Linked DNA regions of Cricetulus griseus. The protein of the gene in region 3 interacts with the protein of the main gene of each other region in a pairwise test. Links are inferred from orthologs where the notes say so. Each region holds a gene or a part of one and is shown on either strand. Other genes may lie near its edges.

The links.
Region 1: the proteins of Efemp2 (region 3) and Il16 interact in binary tests that used the Homo sapiens proteins (3 or more experiments, as listed by UniProt). The two-hybrid records come from large-scale screens. The link is inferred for Cricetulus griseus from reciprocal best matches to the Homo sapiens genes EFEMP2 and IL16.
Region 2: the proteins of Efemp2 (region 3) and Hoxa1 interact in a two-hybrid assay, tested with the Homo sapiens proteins (2 studies listed by BioGRID and IntAct). The link is inferred for Cricetulus griseus from reciprocal best matches to the Homo sapiens genes EFEMP2 and HOXA1.

The regions. Positions count from the first base shown.
Region 1 is NC_048596.1:113,938,754-113,944,873, forward strand, and holds the start of Il16 (pro-interleukin-16), read left to right. Parts: upstream 1-2,307; coding exon 2,308-2,512; intron 2,513-6,120. UniProt on the Homo sapiens protein: Interleukin-16 stimulates a migratory response in CD4+ lymphocytes, monocytes, and eosinophils. Primes CD4+ T-cells for IL-2 and IL-15 responsiveness. Also induces T-lymphocyte expression of interleukin 2 receptor. Ligand for CD4.
Region 2 is NC_048601.1:89,185,823-89,191,798, reverse strand, and holds Hoxa1 (homeobox protein Hox-A1), read right to left. Parts: upstream 3,814-5,976; 5' UTR 3,700-3,813; coding exon 3,051-3,699; intron 2,522-3,050; coding exon 2,166-2,521; 3' UTR 1,066-2,165; downstream 1-1,065. UniProt on the Homo sapiens protein: Sequence-specific transcription factor. Regulates multiple developmental processes including brainstem, inner and outer ear, abducens nerve and cardiovascular development and morphogenesis as well as cognition and behavior.
Region 3 is NC_048596.1:53,862,868-53,868,914, forward strand, and holds the start of Efemp2 (EGF-containing fibulin-like extracellular matrix protein 2 precursor), read right to left. Parts: upstream 4,023-6,047; 5' UTR 3,733-4,022; coding exon 3,622-3,732; intron 3,386-3,621; coding exon 3,337-3,385; intron 2,720-3,336; coding exon 2,513-2,719; intron 1,148-2,512; coding exon 1,025-1,147; intron 784-1,024; coding exon 667-783; intron 539-666; coding exon 419-538; intron 1-418. UniProt on the Homo sapiens protein: Plays a crucial role in elastic fiber formation in tissue, and in the formation of ultrastructural connections between elastic laminae and smooth muscle cells in the aorta, therefore participates in terminal differentiation and maturation of smooth muscle cell (SMC) and in the mechanical properties and wall integrity maintenance of the aorta.

The DNA.
Region 1 (6,120 bases), about 60 Mb from region 3:
TAGCCTGGGGTGACTACTCTCTATAGCTTCCCTCCTTATTTAGTCAGCTCCCTGAAAGAAGATTACCAGACCACTGCTTTCTTTGTCCTTCTCTCTGCCCTGCAGTTACACAGTGGCCAGTTCTTCTGAGCCCAGCAGAGGCCCTTCCCTTGCCTAGGAGCTGCCAGAATGCCCTGTGGAAGTGGAAGTGGAAGCTCCAGCTAGGCACTCATTCCTTACTGCCTTGCCCCTTCTTAGGCATTGTTCCAGCCCCAGACACTGCGCTGACTTCTTTTCACACATTGTCCATGAGGTCACGTGTTGTGGTTCCACCTGAATGGTGGGGTTCACTCAGGGATGCCTTCTGGGCCTTACCTGCAGCCTCTGACTCCGGGCTTCATGCTCATTACTGTCCCAAGACACACCTCAGCAAACACAAAGTGGTTATATATGCTCCGAGTAAAAACATAACAGAACAGCATTCACTGGCAAGGTGGCTGGGGGTAAAGACACTTCTCATATAAGCCTAGTGGCCTGAGTCCAATGCCTGGAACCCCAGTGATGGTGGAAGGAGAGAACCAAATCCACCAGGTTGTCTTCTAGTTTTCCCCATGTGCATGCTTGCACACACACACACACACACACACACACACACACACACACACACACACACTTAAAAAACACTATTTTTTTCGAGTCAGGGTTACTCTGTGTAGCTCCGACTGTCCTGGATCTTGGTTTGTGGACCAGGCTGGCCTCGAACTTACAGAGATCCACCTGTCTCTGCCTCCTGAGTGCTGGGATTAAAGGCATGCACCACCACCACCTGGCTTCCTTGGAGGTTTAAAATTTAAACTAAATTTTAGAATTAGTTTCTGAATGCTCATACAAAGAACTGAGGCAGAAGTATTTTAGGAGAAATCAGACCAAAAGCCAAGGACCTGCCTTTTTGTCAACTCTCTGTTTCCTGTCTTCTGGATCCCCTCATGAGAAACCTGAGAACTTGGGCAGGTAGGGCACACCTTGAGTTGAATTTGGTCACAGCACAGAGCTCATATTCCTAAGGAGCAACTTAAATTTTAATTGCATCCCTGTCCCCTCTTTTCTACACCCTCAAGCTCCACTGCCACCAAGAGATTTGTCTGAACCAAATGCCAAAGGGCCACACAATCTCTGACCCCTCATTCAGCTCCCAAGTCTGTTGGCACGGGTAGGTCTTTGGTGAGATGCTCCAAAGAGTCACATCAGCCATAACACTTAACTCAAGCATCTGCTGTAGAAATTCCCACACAAGGAATAGTGTCCATCTATGTCTGTGGTCCCCAGTAGGCTTCAGGGGACCATGTCTTTGTCCTGTGTGACCCAAGTGCCTGAATCACAGTGAATCACACTTAGAAACTGACTGTTGTATGGATGAACACCAACCGTGATGCTAGAGATTGGAAAGACGCTGCAGTGGGTAAAGTGCTTGCCACCCAAGCACAAGGACCTGAGTTCAGATCCCCAGTACTCATATAAAAGTGGGCTCAGCAACTTGTGTCTGTGAGCTTTGCACTGGGCAGACTGATAGGCAGATCCTGGGGCTTGCTGGCCAGTCAACCTATCCAAAACAGCAATCTTCAGGTTAAAAAGTAAGATTGCTAGCAATAGAAGAAAGACATCTGTGTTGACCTACTGCCTCCAAGGGTGCATGAACAGGGGAGTACATCCATGTATATAGCTCTTGAGCATGTGCATATTGCAGAGAGTGTGCTCCTGTGCGTGTGCACAGGCACACATGCACACACACTTTATCAGGAGAGGGAATTCTTTGTGTCTGCACTGCCTATTAGACTGGCAATACATTTCTGTATGTGAGATGGGTCTTCATCTAAAAATGCAGCTCACTCTTGGCAGCCACACACTCCTGTACATGGGTAACAAAACTTCAAGACAGTGAAAATAAACAAATGGCTCTAAGAGCCCCATGGTTCTGTTTGGGAGGCAGCTTGGAATCAGCAACAGCAATGAACTCCAAGTTCTTCTTTCGGATCTCTGCTGAAATTAGGGCCCATACGTGTCAGTCTCGTAATTAGACAAGGTTGCCTGGTGTCTGCCAGAAACACAAAGAGGTCCCTGCCCGAAAGAGCACAGAGCAGATGGGGTTGCTGAGCGCAGCTTGTGCGTGAGCACGCTGCCTGGGGAGAGGAAGGCAGAGAATCAGGAGCTGTGCTGCCTGCTACATGCGTTGCTGCAGGAGAGAAGTTGATGCCACAGAAGCAGCAACTAGGCTGCTAGCTCCCTGCACTGTGACCCAGATGTCAGGACCCATGCAGAATAAGGATCTTCATGGGTCTTGCACCGTGGGGCCAGAAGTACATCTGTAATGGACAGGTACAGCAGCTAGGATATGGCTGCCCTGCTCTGCCAGCTGGAGGTGGTCACCACCAATATGCACTTTGGCATACCCACAGGCGCTCCCCGCGGCTGGGATGTCAGGGACCGGCACCCCTTCTCTTCTGCTCATGGCATCTCTTACCTGGCCAGGCTAATCGTGAGTAACTCTGAGTCCTTTACTCAATCTTGCCCCAGCATAGGAAAAAGCTCAGCAGGGAACTTAGCCCCCAAAAGGTGACAGAAAAGGGTCTATTGAAATCAGGATTCTTCCACATCAGGCAGTGCTGTGAGACCCAAGGGCACATAGAGAGACTCAGAGAATCCAATGAAATGAGAACTCCAAGCACACATCCCACAGAAACCACCTGGAAACATCAAAGGAAGCTTCAGGCTCATGGTTTCCAATGTAACTCTCAAGTAGACTGGGAATCAATACAGATGTTGAGAAATTCAACATCTGTATGTATATATGTAGGGTAAACAAATATAGAAGATCCTTCACAAAATCAATCTTTTTGCATGTGTATGTGTGTAGTGTGTGTGTGTGTGTGTGTGTGTGTGTGTGTGTGTGTGTGTGTGTATGTGTGTGTGTGTGTGTGTGTGCTCCCGTGTGTAGGCACACATGTGGGTGGCTGCCTGTGTATGTATGTGCTCTTGCATGTGAGGCTCAGAAGTTGGTGTGGGTATCTTCCTTATTGATCACTGAGCAGGGCTTTCACTGATCAATTTGACTAGCTTAGTTATCTGGCTTGTTCCGGGGAATCTCTTGGCTCAGCTTCCCACATGCTGAGTTTATAGGTAGGCTGCCACACCAACTGTGCATTCCTCTGGGTGCTGAGGTTTGAAACTCTGGTCTTTATCCTTGAAGGGCAAGTGCTTTACCACTGTGGCATCTCCCTTCCACAGTCATATATTTCATGAACTTTCTAGTGTTTTTTCTTTTTCTAGCACAGTAAAGGTATTGTGTGATGAAGTTTTGTTTTAGTTATATTAGCTTACTTATTAATTCATAAGCATTTGCTTACCTGTGTATCTTATTGTGGCTAATGGTATATTTCATGGTATTAAAAAATGTAAACTCAAACTTTGATTGAGATCATAGAAGCTTAAAAAAACAAGCAGTATTCTAGAACCTCAATGAGACAGAGAAGTGTGGGGATGTGACCCTGTACCCTGGAGTGTGCCAGACTTCTCTTTGGCCACAGAGGCCATTTCCCTGTTGTCCAAGACAAGGACTTCTGGCCCAGTTGGCCATGAGCTCTCCTTTCTTTTTCTGTCCTTATGTTTGCCTAACTGGGTGAGTAGATCCTTGAGCTACAGCAAGGGTCTGAGGTCAGTAGCTGGTCCAGTCTCACATGTCTGCCCTTCCTCTTTTCTCCTCATCCTCCAAGGGTGGCACACAAGAGCAGGAATGGTCACAGCAGTTGCTGAAGGAGGTTGGGAGGCTGCCATATTTGCTGCACAGGTGATATCTGGGCAGCATGTTTTTCCCACCACTGAAATAATCATCAAAAGCAGATAATAAAGTATGTCTGCATATGAGAGAAAGAGAGAGAGACAGAGAGAGAGAGGAGGCAGGCCATATGAGCTGTCAGCCTCTCTCTGTGCAAATGATAGTTCAAAGAACACTTAGAACACTTACTCATCTCATATGCCATCTTACAAAGTCAACCTTAACACATGCCAACAAATAAAAACCACATGCCCAGATACATCCCCATTGCTACAAAACAATTAAGCTGTAATTTTCTAATAAAAATCAAGAAACTAAAAGATACAAAATTGAAAATTAGTTGACAATAACCACAACTCTCTTGTTGAGAATGGAGTGTAAGCTGAAGGTTAAAGCTTCAATTACTGACCTTCTAAGAAATGACCTAAGTGGGCTGGGACTGTGACTCAACAACACCTGCCTAGGTTGTGTGAGCCCATCTACAAAAATGAAAAACAAAGTAGCTAACCAGTTAGGTAACAACAATAATACACTTGACATTCAAGATTCCTAGACTGTGGATGAAGGAGTCAGAGGAGACTTTTTAGCTTTAAGTAATAGTGACAAAATGGCAGACATGGTGACAGTAGTCAACTGACAGACTATATTTCAGAAACTGGAGTACTTACTATGTTTCCCTATTTGGCTTTATTCCAACACTTTTGGTTTTTTTACTTTAATATATGTTCGAAACATTTAAAAAATTCTTTAAGTAATATTTATTAGTTCTTTGAGACTGTCATACATATCATTTTTGTTGAAAGTGTATTTTATCTAAATTACGTTTAATTAAAAATATAGAAACATTTTATGGTATCAACACAGCATATTTCTTTCTTTTTTTTTTACAAATGCTGGTGCTACTATTAATTATTATTTTTTATTTTTATAATTGTAATTAGACCAATTTTAAATTAGAAACAAGCTTTTTTACATGTCAATCCCAGTTCCCTCTCCCTCCCCTCCTCCCCTACCCCCCACCCCCATCTCAACCTCTTTCTGCTCCCCAGGGAGAGTGAGGCCTTCTATGGGGATCTTCAAAGTCTATCATATCATTTGGAGCAGGGCCTAGACCCTCCCCCATGTGTCTAGGCTGAGAGAGTATCCCTCTATGTGAAGTGGGCTCCCAAGTCCATTCATATACTAGGAATAAATACTGATCCACTACCAGAGGCCCCATAGATTGCCCAGACCTCCTAACTGACATCCTTGTTCAGTCTGGATCAGTCCTGTGCTGGTTTCCCAGCTCTCAGTCTGGAGTCCATGAGCTCCCCCTTGTTCAGGTCAGCTGTTTCTGTGGATTTCTGGAGCCTGGTCTTGACTCCTTTGCTCATCACTCCTCCCTCTCTGCAACTGGATTCCAGAGTTCAGCTCAGTGTTTAGCTGTGGGTTTCCGCTGCTGCTTCCATCAGCTACTGGATGAAGGCTCTAGGATGGTATATAAGGTACTCTTCAATATCATTATTGGAGAAGGGCATTTAAGGTAGCCTCTCCACTATTGTTAGATAGTTAGTTGGGGTCAAAATTGTAGATCTCTGGACATTTCCCTAGTGCCAGAATTCTCTTTAAACCTATAATGACTCCCTCTATTATAGTATCTCTTTTCTTTCTCTCCTCTGTTCTTCCCTGACTAAATCTTCCTGCTCTCTCATGTCCTCCTCTCCCCTCCTCTTCTCCCCTTCTCTTTCTTCTAGCGCCCTTTCCCCTCCTCCATGCTCCCAATTAGCTCAAGAGCTCTTGTTCCTTTCCCCTTCTCAGGGGGAGCACATATGTCTCTCTTAGGGTCCTCCTTGTTTCCTAGCTTCTCTGGCAGTGTGGATTGTAGGCTGGTACTCCTTTGTTCTATGTCTAAAATCCATATATGAGTGAGTAATACCATCTTTGTTCTTTCTTTCTTTCTTTCTTTCTTTCTTTCTTTCTTCCTTTCTTTCTTTTGAGACATAACCTCTCTGTGTAGCTCTGGCTGGCCTGGAGCATGCTATATAGACCAGGCTAGCCTCAAGTTCACAGAGATACACCTGCCTCTGCCTCCTGAGTGCTTAGATTAAATGTGTGTTTCGCTATGCCCATTTCTCTCTTTCTTATTAATTCAGACAGCCAAGTGAGGTGGACCATTCTTATCCAGGATTTCATTTATCCTATTTTGAGTGTGTGTGTGTGTGTGTGTGTGTGTGTGTGTGTGTGTGTGTGTGCATAAAATTTACCAAGCAGTTTAAGTCCCTGTGTGAATTATTTCCCTCAGATCTTCCAGTGGCTAGCATAGCTATCTCCAG
Region 2 (5,976 bases), on a different chromosome or scaffold from region 3:
TTCTAGAAGGCCTGCAAATTCCGAAGGTTTGTAGGTTTTTCTCCTCAGCCCATCTTTTCAAAACACCCTTTGAAAAGGAAGTCACATGTCTGTATCTGTGATGCTGTAGATTTTCTACTCTGCTCTGAGGGCTCAAAGCCTCCAAATGTGTGTGAAAACTGAGGAAGGTCCAACACTTGCCTAGAACGTACAAGGCTCTGAGTCCCATCCCCAGCACCACCAGGAAAAGAGTTAGAAAATGTTGCTTAAACCCTGAAATATGTTAAAAAATAAAAGGAAATTGGCAAGAGGTCTAGAACAGCTCTGTTGAATGTCATCATTTGTTGACTCCCTCTGAGATCTGACACATGCCTCTATCAGAAACAACTTGGATACACAAAGATGTGAGCTGGTTTTCATAAGGTCAACTGGAAGAATCTGAATCTAGAGACTATCAACTTCTGCCCAGCCTATGTGGCATGGAATTAGAAATGGAGAGCCTTTGCAGTCATGATGGCAATGACATGAAAGTTGAATTTGAAGGGATAAGATTGCAATGCAGAGATGTAAGGGAGTGGTTGAAAGAATGGATATTGATAGAAAGAACAGGGGGTGGGAGGCAGACCATACTCAACTTAAAAGATACTTTTATACTGAAGCTGATTAAATGTGAATCTCTCTGCCGTTGGTTCTCTAATGTGAGGAAAGACTGACTGAAGACAGTTTTCAGCTTTTGAAGGGGCTCTGTTTATATATGTGTCAACATTCAGTTGGAGGTGAAAAGGTTAGCACTTGACCCGGGAAGTATCCATGTTTGTTTCAAAAATAGATCTCCTTCATACATTGCTTCACTAGTTTTTCCATTTTGAACTTTGGTTATAATAAAGGAGTGGTTGTTATGATAAAGAGATCAGTGCATTAGCTAGACATTGGTTGGATGAGGCTATACTTATAAGGAATGCTGCAAGCTACATGACAATGGAGGGCCCACTTCTTTGAAAATAAATACCACCCTTCTGTCCTTCCCCATATATCCTTCCCCTTACTTTGTAGTAAGACACAAACTGTAGCCCAGCCAAATACACAGATGCTTAAGCATACCCAAAACTTGAATATTTTTTATTACAGACGTCTTAAGACCCGTAAACTCTGCTCTGGATCACATCCCTCTGGGATCTCAGAGCTGTTCATGATTGTACAGGAAAGGGGGACTATCGTAGGCTCACAAAAGATAACTGATAGAACTCAGTGTGGTACTTCAGGGACATCAAAACATTGTGCGACATGCAGAAGACTATTCACGAATCACACAAAATATACATTCATTGTGCCATCACATTAACAATTAGCTGAAAATACATTGTATCCAGCCAAGATAACTGTGGAAAGAAAGGGTGACTGAAAAGAGTACCTTTAGGTTACAAATAATCCAGCACACTTTTTAAGTGGAGGGTGGCCAGAGAAGCAAGAAGAAATCGGTAATTTGGGAAGTCTTGGCACAGCAAAGGTTCTGAACTTTGGGCTTCTCAGGCCTTCTTGACTCTGCAAGAGCAAATTGAGGCTACCTTTTGAGGAATCTGGTTCTGTTTGAATGCCAGGGTCCCCCCTTTTTTGTCCACCCATAATCACCAGTTTTGGAAGTTTGCCCACCCTGTTTGATATAGTTCTGCATGTTTCTAGAAAATCTGTATAAAGATAAATCTCTCAAGAGAAAGTTAAGGGGTGAATTAATTGTGTAAACACACTCAGTCAATCTCTTCTTCATGAGCCTTTGGATACTCTCTTTTTTGTGTGTCCTACTTAAGAGCCAGGTAGAGAAGAACAATATACAGATAAAAGGTGAGATGCCTCCCTTCTTCAAATGCCTGCTGGCAAAGGGTACTGTCCTCCAAGGGACATCTGAAAGGAACCATGGGTTGTGTAAAAAAAACTCTCACAACAGTGAGGAAGGAATTTTGGGGGCCACCAGAAATTGATATGGGCACCCGATGTGGATTAAGGATTTAATTTACAACCAAGTCTCCAGAATTCTATGGAACTACATTATGTTGCCCAGGAGCTCTCTGGATTGGACCAGAAAGAAAAAGAGAGACTGTAAAGGAAGAAAGATAAGCTAGAGATGTGCTTTGGGTAAGAAACCCTAGCCCAGGGAGAAGCCTGGACTACGGAGCTGGGCTGGAGTGGCCTCAATGGGAGGTAGGCAGGGTGTCTGAGGTAGATGATGCTGGAGAAGGAACGCAGGGCGAGGAGCTGGATTTCTCAGAAGATTCTTCAGCTTTCTCGTCGCTTCCAGGAGGAGTGGCTGGAGAAATGGGCAGGAGCCCCTCCTTCTCACGCTTCTTCTGCTTCATGCGGCGATTCTGGAACCAGATCTTCACCTGGGTCTCGTTGAGCTGCAGGGACGCGGCTATCTCCACCCTGCGCGCTCGTGTCAGGTACTTGTTGAAGTGGAACTCCTTCTCCAGCTCCGTGAGCTGCTTGGTGGTGAAGTTGGTGCGCACTGCGTTGGGTTGACCCACATAGCCATACTCTCCAACTTTCCCTGGGGTAACGGAGGAAGAGAGGAAAAGGTAAAAATTCTTTAACCCTTATCCGATTGCCCAATGTTCGGGGCAACATTCGGTTAACTGCTCAGCACAAACCCAGCTGGGAAGCTCTAGTGACAAACGATGTGTATGTAAAGTGTTAACCTGAAGTCAACCATTAGCGTGGTCAGGCTTCTGATTAATGGAGCCTGTAGATATTAACAAAACTCCACCACCACCGACACCTCCCACCCACACCACACCACACACACACACACACACACACACACACACACACACACACACACACACACACACGCTTCCTACTTCTAGACCACTGAAGCATCAGCCCCTTTGAAAATGCCAGGTCCAGAAACTGCTTTGCCCCAACACACCTGGGCATCCTACACCACACACTATAACTCCAGAAGACACTAGACAGAAGCAAGAACCCATCTTTTAAAATCATTAACTTTCCTAGGAAACTAAGCGCACCGGCCCCTTTCAAAATCAAGCAACATTTGTTTGCCAGCCGGCAGGACTCACCTGTTTTGGGAGGGTTTCTTTTGACTTTCATCCAGTCAAAGGTCTGCGCTGGAGAAGGCGTCTCTGAAGCAGGGGAGCGACAGGCTTCTTGGTGGCTGGCGTGGAGAGGGGATAAGGAGTTATTATACGTGGCCAGGGCCAGGCTCTGGTGCTCTTGTCCATAAGAGTGGTGGATATACTGAGGCGAGCCCACCGTGCCCCCAGCATAACCCTGGTGGTGGTGGTGGTGGTGATGCTGGACCATGGGAGATGAGAGGTTTCCAGAGTAAACAGCGGGAGCGCACGGGGAGTACCCACCACTTACGTCTGCTTCCTGATTTAATCCATAGGGGCCATAAGGCGCACTGAAGTTCTGCGCGCCATAGCTTGGACCACAACTCGAGTGGGAGTAGGAAACCCCCAGACTCCCAGAAGTCTGGTAAGTAGACGGCTGGGGGTGGTGATGGTGGTGGTGGTGGGGCGAGCTGATCTGCACCCCCCTGCCCACTAGGAAGCGGTCGTCGCCGCCGCAGCTGTTGGCACTGACCGCGCAGGATTGGAAAGTTGTAATCCCATGGTCAGAGGTGTAGGCTCGCGCAGAGCAGGTCCCGGAGTCGCCACTGCCAAGGATGGGATATTCCAGGAAGGAGCTCATTCTTGCATTGTCCATCTGTCACTGAGTGACTGGGTCCTGCGAAGCCCTGGGTGACCGTGCCAACTTTCTCACTTCCTCCATGGGACCAGAGAAGAAAAATGATATGAATGTACAGTGCGCAAGAGGCGGGGCGGGAAGGCGGAGGACTCAAGGGGAAGGACACGTGACTTTGTCAACCAATGGCTGAGCCGCCTGCGAAAGTTTACCGGCTGCGGCGGTGATGGATCACCGTTTCAGTGGCATTTAAATCCCCGGCGCTCCTCAGTCTAGGTGACGCGCGGTCGCCCCCCCAGGCTGCCCGGGCCGCGGCGGCTGCTCCGGCCGCTGCCAGAGCTGACTTGGAGCACTGGGGCCAAGGGGAGTAGAGATTGACTTCTGCGCGCGCCCGACTCTGCTCGCCTCCGCCTCCAGGATGTGGGGGATGGGAGGCGACCCTCCGCGGCCCTTTCCCCACCCAGCCTAGAAAGCTGAACTGACAAGAGGTGAGAGGGGACGAGGCCTCTCGGCTCTCTTGAGGCGGGCCTCGGTAGGCCAGAGCTCTCTGCATGGTCTCAAGGACCCTGGCGGAGCCGGGAGCAAACAGGGTGGGAAGGGTAGGAATCCAGCACACATCATCCCCTCAGCTCGGGATGGCCGCCACCACCCAGTCCCTGCAGAGACTTGAGCCTGGAACCCAGGCGCCTAGGGCAAGGCTGCGTCACTGCCTCACCCGCCTCGGAATGTAGGGGGACGTGCGCAAAGGATTGTCTGGGAGGAATCAGGGTGGGTGTGATGGGGACCAGAGAAAGAAAAGAAGCTACTGTCCTCATCCGGAGGGTCTCAGAGCCCTCTGCCCTGACTCCTACGGGCCAATAGCGTGGCTATGGGAGCTTCTGTAATTCGACCCCAGGGGGGCGGGGGAGCCCTAGGAACCCAGCTCTCTGGGAAAGTCCGGGTGTCTGCTCTCTTCTCTGCCCTCCCTCTTCTCTGGATCTCTTCCCCTTTCTCCTTCCCAGTCAGTCAGCTTTGCTCTTGGTAGTCCCTCAGGATCCGGAGCAACTCTGCTGCTGGAGTTTGAGGGTGGAAGGCAGATGAGAAAGATGACGCTAGCAGACGTGGCCGGCATGAGGGCCGAGCCTGAGCTGCAGGCCTTCTGTCTGCTCTTAGAGACCCAGGAGCTTGCTCGCTCCAGCGTAGGCCTCAGAGGGACGGAGGGACGGGACAGAAGGACGGATCGCACAGTTCTTACAAAGTATGCTGACCTCCCGCGTCACATTTCTCTCTTTCATAAGGGGCTTGCTTGTTAGGAGTGGGAAAACCTCCTCTTGCCACCGCCCCCTATTGCATGTCTGGGGGGTGGGGAGGGACTGGCAGGTGGGAGGGGCAGTGGACAGATGGCTGAGTGGATTGTATACTTTCCAACGGACTGTGTAGTTGCTTGTGTGAACCTTCAGGTCACTCCCCAGAGAGACACGTGCAAATGTGAGCATCATCCCAGGACAGGGGTCCTGTTTTCCATCAACCTCACCCCTACGATGATGCTGATGGTGTTGGTAATTGCTGTTTACTGTTAGGTTTAATGTCAGCCCTAGGCTTGAAGAGAGAAAAGGCCACACAGAGAATGAACGCGTTCTTAAGTAGGAGAAAGTCAGTGATCACCTAAGAAACCTTGCAAGCAATTCTGCACAGGTTTTATTCTGACCATGCTTCTAGACGTGAAATTATCAGAGTAATTTATGTGTGAGTTTGGGTGTTCTCTGTCTATAGAAAAAGGAAGTTTTGTTCAGAGCAGCCACTTTTCAAATGTGAGGTCACTCTTCAGACTTTGTTTTGTTCTCCACATATAGAAGTTGTGGTCCCCTCCACCCCTACCCCCAGTCCCAAACCTGACCATCCTCAGGGAGATCTAAGTAGACCTTGTGTCTGGTCTTCCTCAGTAGCAACCACTTATTTGAGGAGTGGTGTTTCTCTGTGACCTTTGACTCACCCCCAAGGCTTGGTTAAGGGGGAGCAAGGACTGGAAAGTTTCCCCTGCTTTAGCTTCAGCTCCTGAGGAATCATCAGAGGAAAGCAAGGTAGACCTCCCTGAGGAGGTTGTCTTGGGAGGGCAGTCCTCCAGCTATGAAGAAAGCAGGGACTCCTGTGGGTCGGCAGGAAGTGAGAGGCTCAATGGAGTGAGTGCTGGTGAGCTGCTCATTTAGCAGGAGACGTCCATTCCTTCTCCCCCTTGCCTCTTTCCTGGCCTTCCGTGGGCTTCCCCTCCGGATTTGCATTAACATGCTAGCTCCAGGACTGGGGCCTCAAAGCTGCCCC
Region 3 (6,047 bases):
GGAATTAGTGTCCTGTTTGCAAAAGCAAATCACCATTGACCAGACTAAATGAGAATGTAAGTTATAAACAAGTGGTGCTCCCCACTTTTGCTGCCTGAGACTTGATGAAGCCTTTTATCATGGTCCCTCTCCATATCCAAACAACCTATTTACAATAGAAATGTGCCCAGAAAGAAGAGAGACTTGTCCTAGTGCAGGATTCCAGTGCAAGTCAACTCAACTTCCAGGAAGACTGGCACCTACATCCTTTCCTGTCTCTCCAGCAAGCTTCAGTAGGGCCTCCCATAGCATCCCCACCCTCAGCGACCAGCTCAGGATACAGAGAATGAGACATGGAAGCCTCAAACAAACGACTGTGTGACTAGAGTTGGTCCTGGGAGGACCAATGCACTATCCAGCAGCACAAGTGGACTCTCACCACTGCAGGAGAAGCCATCCCGGTGCAGTTCATAGCCTTGGTTACAACGACACAAGAAGGTCCCATAGGAGTTGAAGCAGCGTTGCTCACATGGGGCTCCCATGTCACACTCATTCACATCTGAGGATGCCAGAGAAAACAGGAGTGGTGAAAGCAGAGGCACTGCCCAGAGTCCCACTCTACATGGGCTTAGTGAGGAGATCCTGCCCCTATCCCATACATCTCTACCTAGGACCCCAGAGTCTCACCCACACAAGAACGGTTGTTAGGACCCAGCTGGAATCCTGGCTCACACTGGCAGCGAAAAGAGCCTGGCAGGTTCACACATCGATGCTGGCAATATCGGTAGCGACACTCGTCTATGTCTGCAATGGAGGCAGGGGAGGGGTAAGCAGGACACAAGTCAGGTGGGGCCTGAGCAGGCCGAGACAAAGGCCTCAGCACGCATGCTTACTCCTGTCTTTTTCAGGGACCTGAGTTGAGCCACCGACATATAGTCTTCTGTGTCTAATGACAGGAGGGTACCAGCAGCAGAGGACTAGGATAAGGATAAGGTCAGACCAAAGTCACAAAGCAAGAACTAGGAAAGCCACTCTCTGAACTCACCCACGCATTCGGGCCCAACTTTTCGGTAACCATCAGGGCAGGTGCATTGGTAGGAACCAGGCAGGTTATGACAGTCTTGGCTAGGGCGACAGTCATGCAAAGCCTGGGCGCACTCGTCCACATCTGTGGGAGACACCATGCAGCCCTTACCCAGAGTCCCACATGTTACTGACCATGTCAGCACATCAACTTGGAAGGAGGTGGCTCACACCAGACTTCATTCACATGGGCACATGGGTAGCTGGCACCAAAATATGAAGATAGGATATAGGTCCTCCCAACAGCACAAGAAAACAGTCCACCAGGAAAAGCACCCATTAGCTGAGCATATAAAACAAGGCCTTGTCAGGTCTGGTGGCACACACTTTTAATTCTAACACCCAGGAGGCAGAAGCAGGAGGATCCCTCTGAGTTCCAAGCCAGCCAGAGCTATAGAGTTCCAAGCCAGCTAGAACTGGCTTAAAAATAAATGAGGCGTTGTCCATTCACACCCTCAGCTGACTCTAGACCAGGATCTTCCCTCCTCCAAAGCCAGCGGTTTCCAAGGCCGAGACCTGATAAAGAGCTGGCAAGAGGCTGGGAGCAGAGCTCTAGCATGTCTGCACAGGAAGTGAGGGAGCTGCTGGGGACTTCCTGGGCCAGCAGACCATGCACCAGGCCTGCTGCAGGTGAGGGTTCAGATGTTTCTCTGAGGAGCCAGAGGCTTCTCTCAGCAAGGAAGGAACATGAGGTCTGCGGTATTTAGTGTGGAAAATTACTTTATTTATGTTAGTTACTGCTTTTGAGATAGGCTCTCATGTAGCTCAGGGTGGCCTCAAACTCCTTATGCAACTGAGGTAACCTTTAACTTCCAATCTTCTTTTCTCTACCTCCCTGGTGGTGGGATTACAAGTGTGTGCTGGGGATCAAACCCAGAGACTCTGTCTCAAAAAACAAAGTACACAGTCCTGCAGTGGTGGCACACACCTTTAGTCCCAGCACTCAGCACTAGGGAGTCAGAGGCAGGCAGATCTCTAAGTTCTAGGCCAACCTGGACTACAGAGTGAGTTCCAGGACAGCCAGGGCTACACAGAGAAATCCTATCTCGAAGAACAAGGTGCTAGGGAGGGACAATGAGAGAGAACAAATATGAAGTGTGTCAGGAGAATGATACCATGATTTTAAAAACTTTCACTTTGCTTCTTTTATTTATTTTTAAATTTACTTTTTTATTTTATGTGCATTGGTGTTTTGCCATGGGTACCAGGTCCCCTGAATTAGAATTACAGACAGTTGTGAGCCACCATGTGGTTGCTGGGAATTGAACCCAGGTCCTCTGGAAGAGCAGCCAGTGCTCTTTACCTCTAAGCCATCTCTCCAGCGCCCCCCTTTGTTTTCTTTTGGTTTTTACTTTTCTTTTTACTTTATACACTAAATACAAAATTAATTTTAAAAAGACATGTAAGAGGTCTGGAAGCATTGGTGCCAGCCAGCATGGCTCCCACTTACCCACACAGCTCTCCTGTTCATCAGGTTCATAGCCTGGTGGGCAAGGATTGGGGTGTTGAGCAGGGGGCACTGGTGGTGGAGGGCCTTCGCCATGTAGATCATTAATGACAGCCGCAGATCGAGGCAGACACAAATAGCCCCCATAGTGGTTGATGCATTTCATTTCGCCCTTGCAGGCCTCGGGGATGGTCAGGCACTCGTTGACATCTGCAGAAAGGGGCCTGCTGGGCACAGCCAGTCACCTGGGCTGGCCCTGGAGGTAGTGGGAGGCAGAATCCCAGCTTGGCCTTCTCTAAGCTGAGCAACAGAGCAAGGTTTTCTCTCTGCTCAGCAAATTAAGGCTGATGACCCAGAACCCCTCCCAGTGATTTGCAGGACTGGGGATAGGGCCACCTATTTTCGCCGTTGTCCCTATTCTCCTGCCTCCAAGTGAGTTTCCATTCCTCCTCAAAACCCTGCCTCTACCTCTGCCCCAGAGTAATTTGCAGGCCTCCAAACCCACAGAGTGTGTACTGCTCTCCCAGGTTGCACTGGGATAAAGAGCTGGGCTAGGAGAGTAGAGGGCAGTTGGCGGAAGGTGTGCAGATCTCCGTTTCTCTGGGCAGTCACCAGGTGCTCTCCTGTCTACTGCAAATAGAGGCAGAGTTCATTGCACTTCTTGAAGGGGTAGGACTCCTAATTGAGTGGCTGGCTTTGGCTCAGCCAAGCTGGACAGTGAAAAGGCCATTAGGTTCCTGCAGCTGGTCTAGGAGCCAGGTTATCCCTGGGAAACAATAGTTGCCTTCCCAGTTCCTGAAAATGGCTAGTATCCCAGGCATACTCACCCCGGCAGTGCTGGCTGTCTGCGTCCCACTCATAGCCATCTGTACATTCCTGGAAGGGGACCCCAAGTGGCCAGTGACCACTCTGGAAGTCTCCTCCAACTAGCCAGAACAAGGCCAGGGCCTGAGCTCAGTTATGCTCGGGTCAATTCACACAATGACTCCCAGTCTTCCACCAACCAAGCAGAGGAGAGTCTTCCCCAGGCACCCCAAGATCCTGGTCCTTCCCATCCCATCCCATCCCATCCCATCCCATCCCATCCCATCCCATCCCAAGCTGGTCCCCACCGTGTAGCTGTCCGGCTCTTCCGAATCCTGTGGAGACGCTGCTCCCAAGAGCAACAGCAGGAGCGCCCAGAGCAGTAAAGACCCGGGAAGGCAGGAGGCAAAAGGGAGCATCCTGGGGCTGGGAGGTAGTGGGCAGGGGTCAGGGGCCTCTGCCACGACACCCCCCATTCCCTGTATCAGGAAGGGGACACTGGATTCCCGGCTGTCTCAGAACTGTGCTGGGAGCACCGGAGCCTTCCAGAGTTGGGGGCCGAGTCCTTTCGCAGGCCTGGGGCTCGCAGGCCCGCAATCCCGGACCGCCCCGCCCCCGCCCCGCGAGTCGTGGAGCGCAGGCCTCTCGGCTTGGCGTAGCGCGGACCCGGCCGCGACACGGCCCGCGCCCTCCCTCCGCTGGCGGCCACTCACTCGTTGACTCCGGCAGTGCCTGCGGGCGGACGGACGGACCGGACCGCGCAGCTCGCTGGACGCGCGGCCCCAGGAAGCGCCCCCGCCCGCCCGCCCGCCCGCCCGCCCGCCCGCCGCGGCCCACCCCGGCGCCTCCGCCCGCCCTTCGGCGGATTCCTGAGCCCGCGCCAGGGGGAGGGACCCCGACCCCCCGGCTTCTCCACCCCGGGCCGGCCACAGGCCCCCACCCGGTCCCCCGCGGCGCCGCCTGGAGGCGCCTGCGGGCGCCCAGCCAGAGTTCCCTAACGCTTGGGTCCCGGGGCCACTGACCTTGATGTTTGGCCCCCAAATTCACCTGGGGACCCCGGGCCCTCATTCAAAATGTTGTCCTAGCCACCTAGACCCTATCCAACCTGGTCCTCTAGAATCCCTGAGTGTGCACTCGCACCTCAGCTGTAGCTAAACACCCAGACCCTGAATCTGCGCCTCTCAGAACCTACTCGCCACTTATTTTCTCAAACCTCCAAATCCTACTACTTGCAGAATTTTATCCTGTGCTCCCCACATCATCAGTTAGATGGTCTCAAACATTCATCCAAGGTTTCCGGACATAAAGTTAATTGTCCCTCTCCCTCCGGCCATGAGCTCCGCGGCCTCCAGGTGGTCGCTCTACTCAGGGCACTGCTTCCCCGGAGCCTGCCTGCACAAAGCTACGCTAATGTGGGGGTGAGGGCAGCTGTCGTCTTGGCCCGAAATGAATGGAACCCCCGAGAAACTGGCAAACTTGAACTTGGGCGCAGAGGACACTAGGGCCCACTGCCAGCCCTTTTCCGACCCTCTTTCCCTTCAGGTCCCCCACCCAGTTTCCGTCTTGGTCCCCAGCAAAGATCATGCCTTGAGGGAGGAGCCGGTGTGCCTCCGGCTCCCAGGAAGGGGCGAATGGGCGGGACTTCGCGTTGCCCACGTCTCAGGGCGGGACTAGACGGGAAAGGACTGCGTGTCCAGGGTTCCCTTGCCTGGCCCTTGCTGGTTACGGCAATAGCCTGACCTTCCTTTCCCTTACCCAACCTCTTTCCAGTCTTTCTTTCTTTGTTTTATCTTTTCGAGACAGGTTCTCACAAGTAGTTCTGGCTGTCCTGGAACTCACTATGTAGATCCACCTGCCTCTTGCCTCCCAGGTGCTGGGATGAAACGCGTGTGTCACCATGCCCAGCTCTGCCATGATTTAAAAAATGTATTTGCCTCATTTCAAGGACTTGTCTATATGTAGTATATCCCTGTGTGCCTACGTACCAGTGTAGGATATTGTGTCACTGAATCTAGAGTTCACTATTTCTGCCCGTCTCCACCTCCCAGGACCTCCTGCACTGGGGTTTCACACAGGCATCACCACCACAATTGGCTTTTGTGCTGGTGCTGAGAATCTGAACTCAGGCCTTCATGTTTTGTAGTGAGCTACCTCCCCGGCTTCCATTGCCTTTGTTTTTTTTCTAAAGAAAAATATTTTAATGATGTGTTTAATTATGTGTGCATCTATGTACTGGTATACATACCTGAGTGCAGGTGCCCAGGGGCCAGAGGTGTTCCCTGGATCTGGAGTTACTGACAGCTCTGAGCTGCCTGATGTGGGTGCTGAGAACCAAATTCAGGTCATCTGAAAGAGGAATACTGCAGCCATTTCTACAGCCCTGTTTTTTGTTTTGTTTTGTTTTTAAAGCAGTAGAGGAGTAGGGGTGTATCTCAGTGGTACCATGTTGTTTAGGATGACGAGGACTCCAAGGTTCAATCCCAGTACACACACACACACACACACACACACACACACACCACGTAGAACAAAGCACAGAGAGACAAGAAAGGCATGGGGAGTGAGTGAAGTCTTGAGTGAATGTGTATTATTGATATTAACATAGCCATGTCAAGGACCCCAACCCCCCAGACCTGTGGGTATGGCAGGACCTTTTCCAGGTCAGGCTCAGACGAATGGGAAGGCCTTCCATGAGTGAGTGCAACACCAACAGGGTGTGCATTTTTTAATTTCA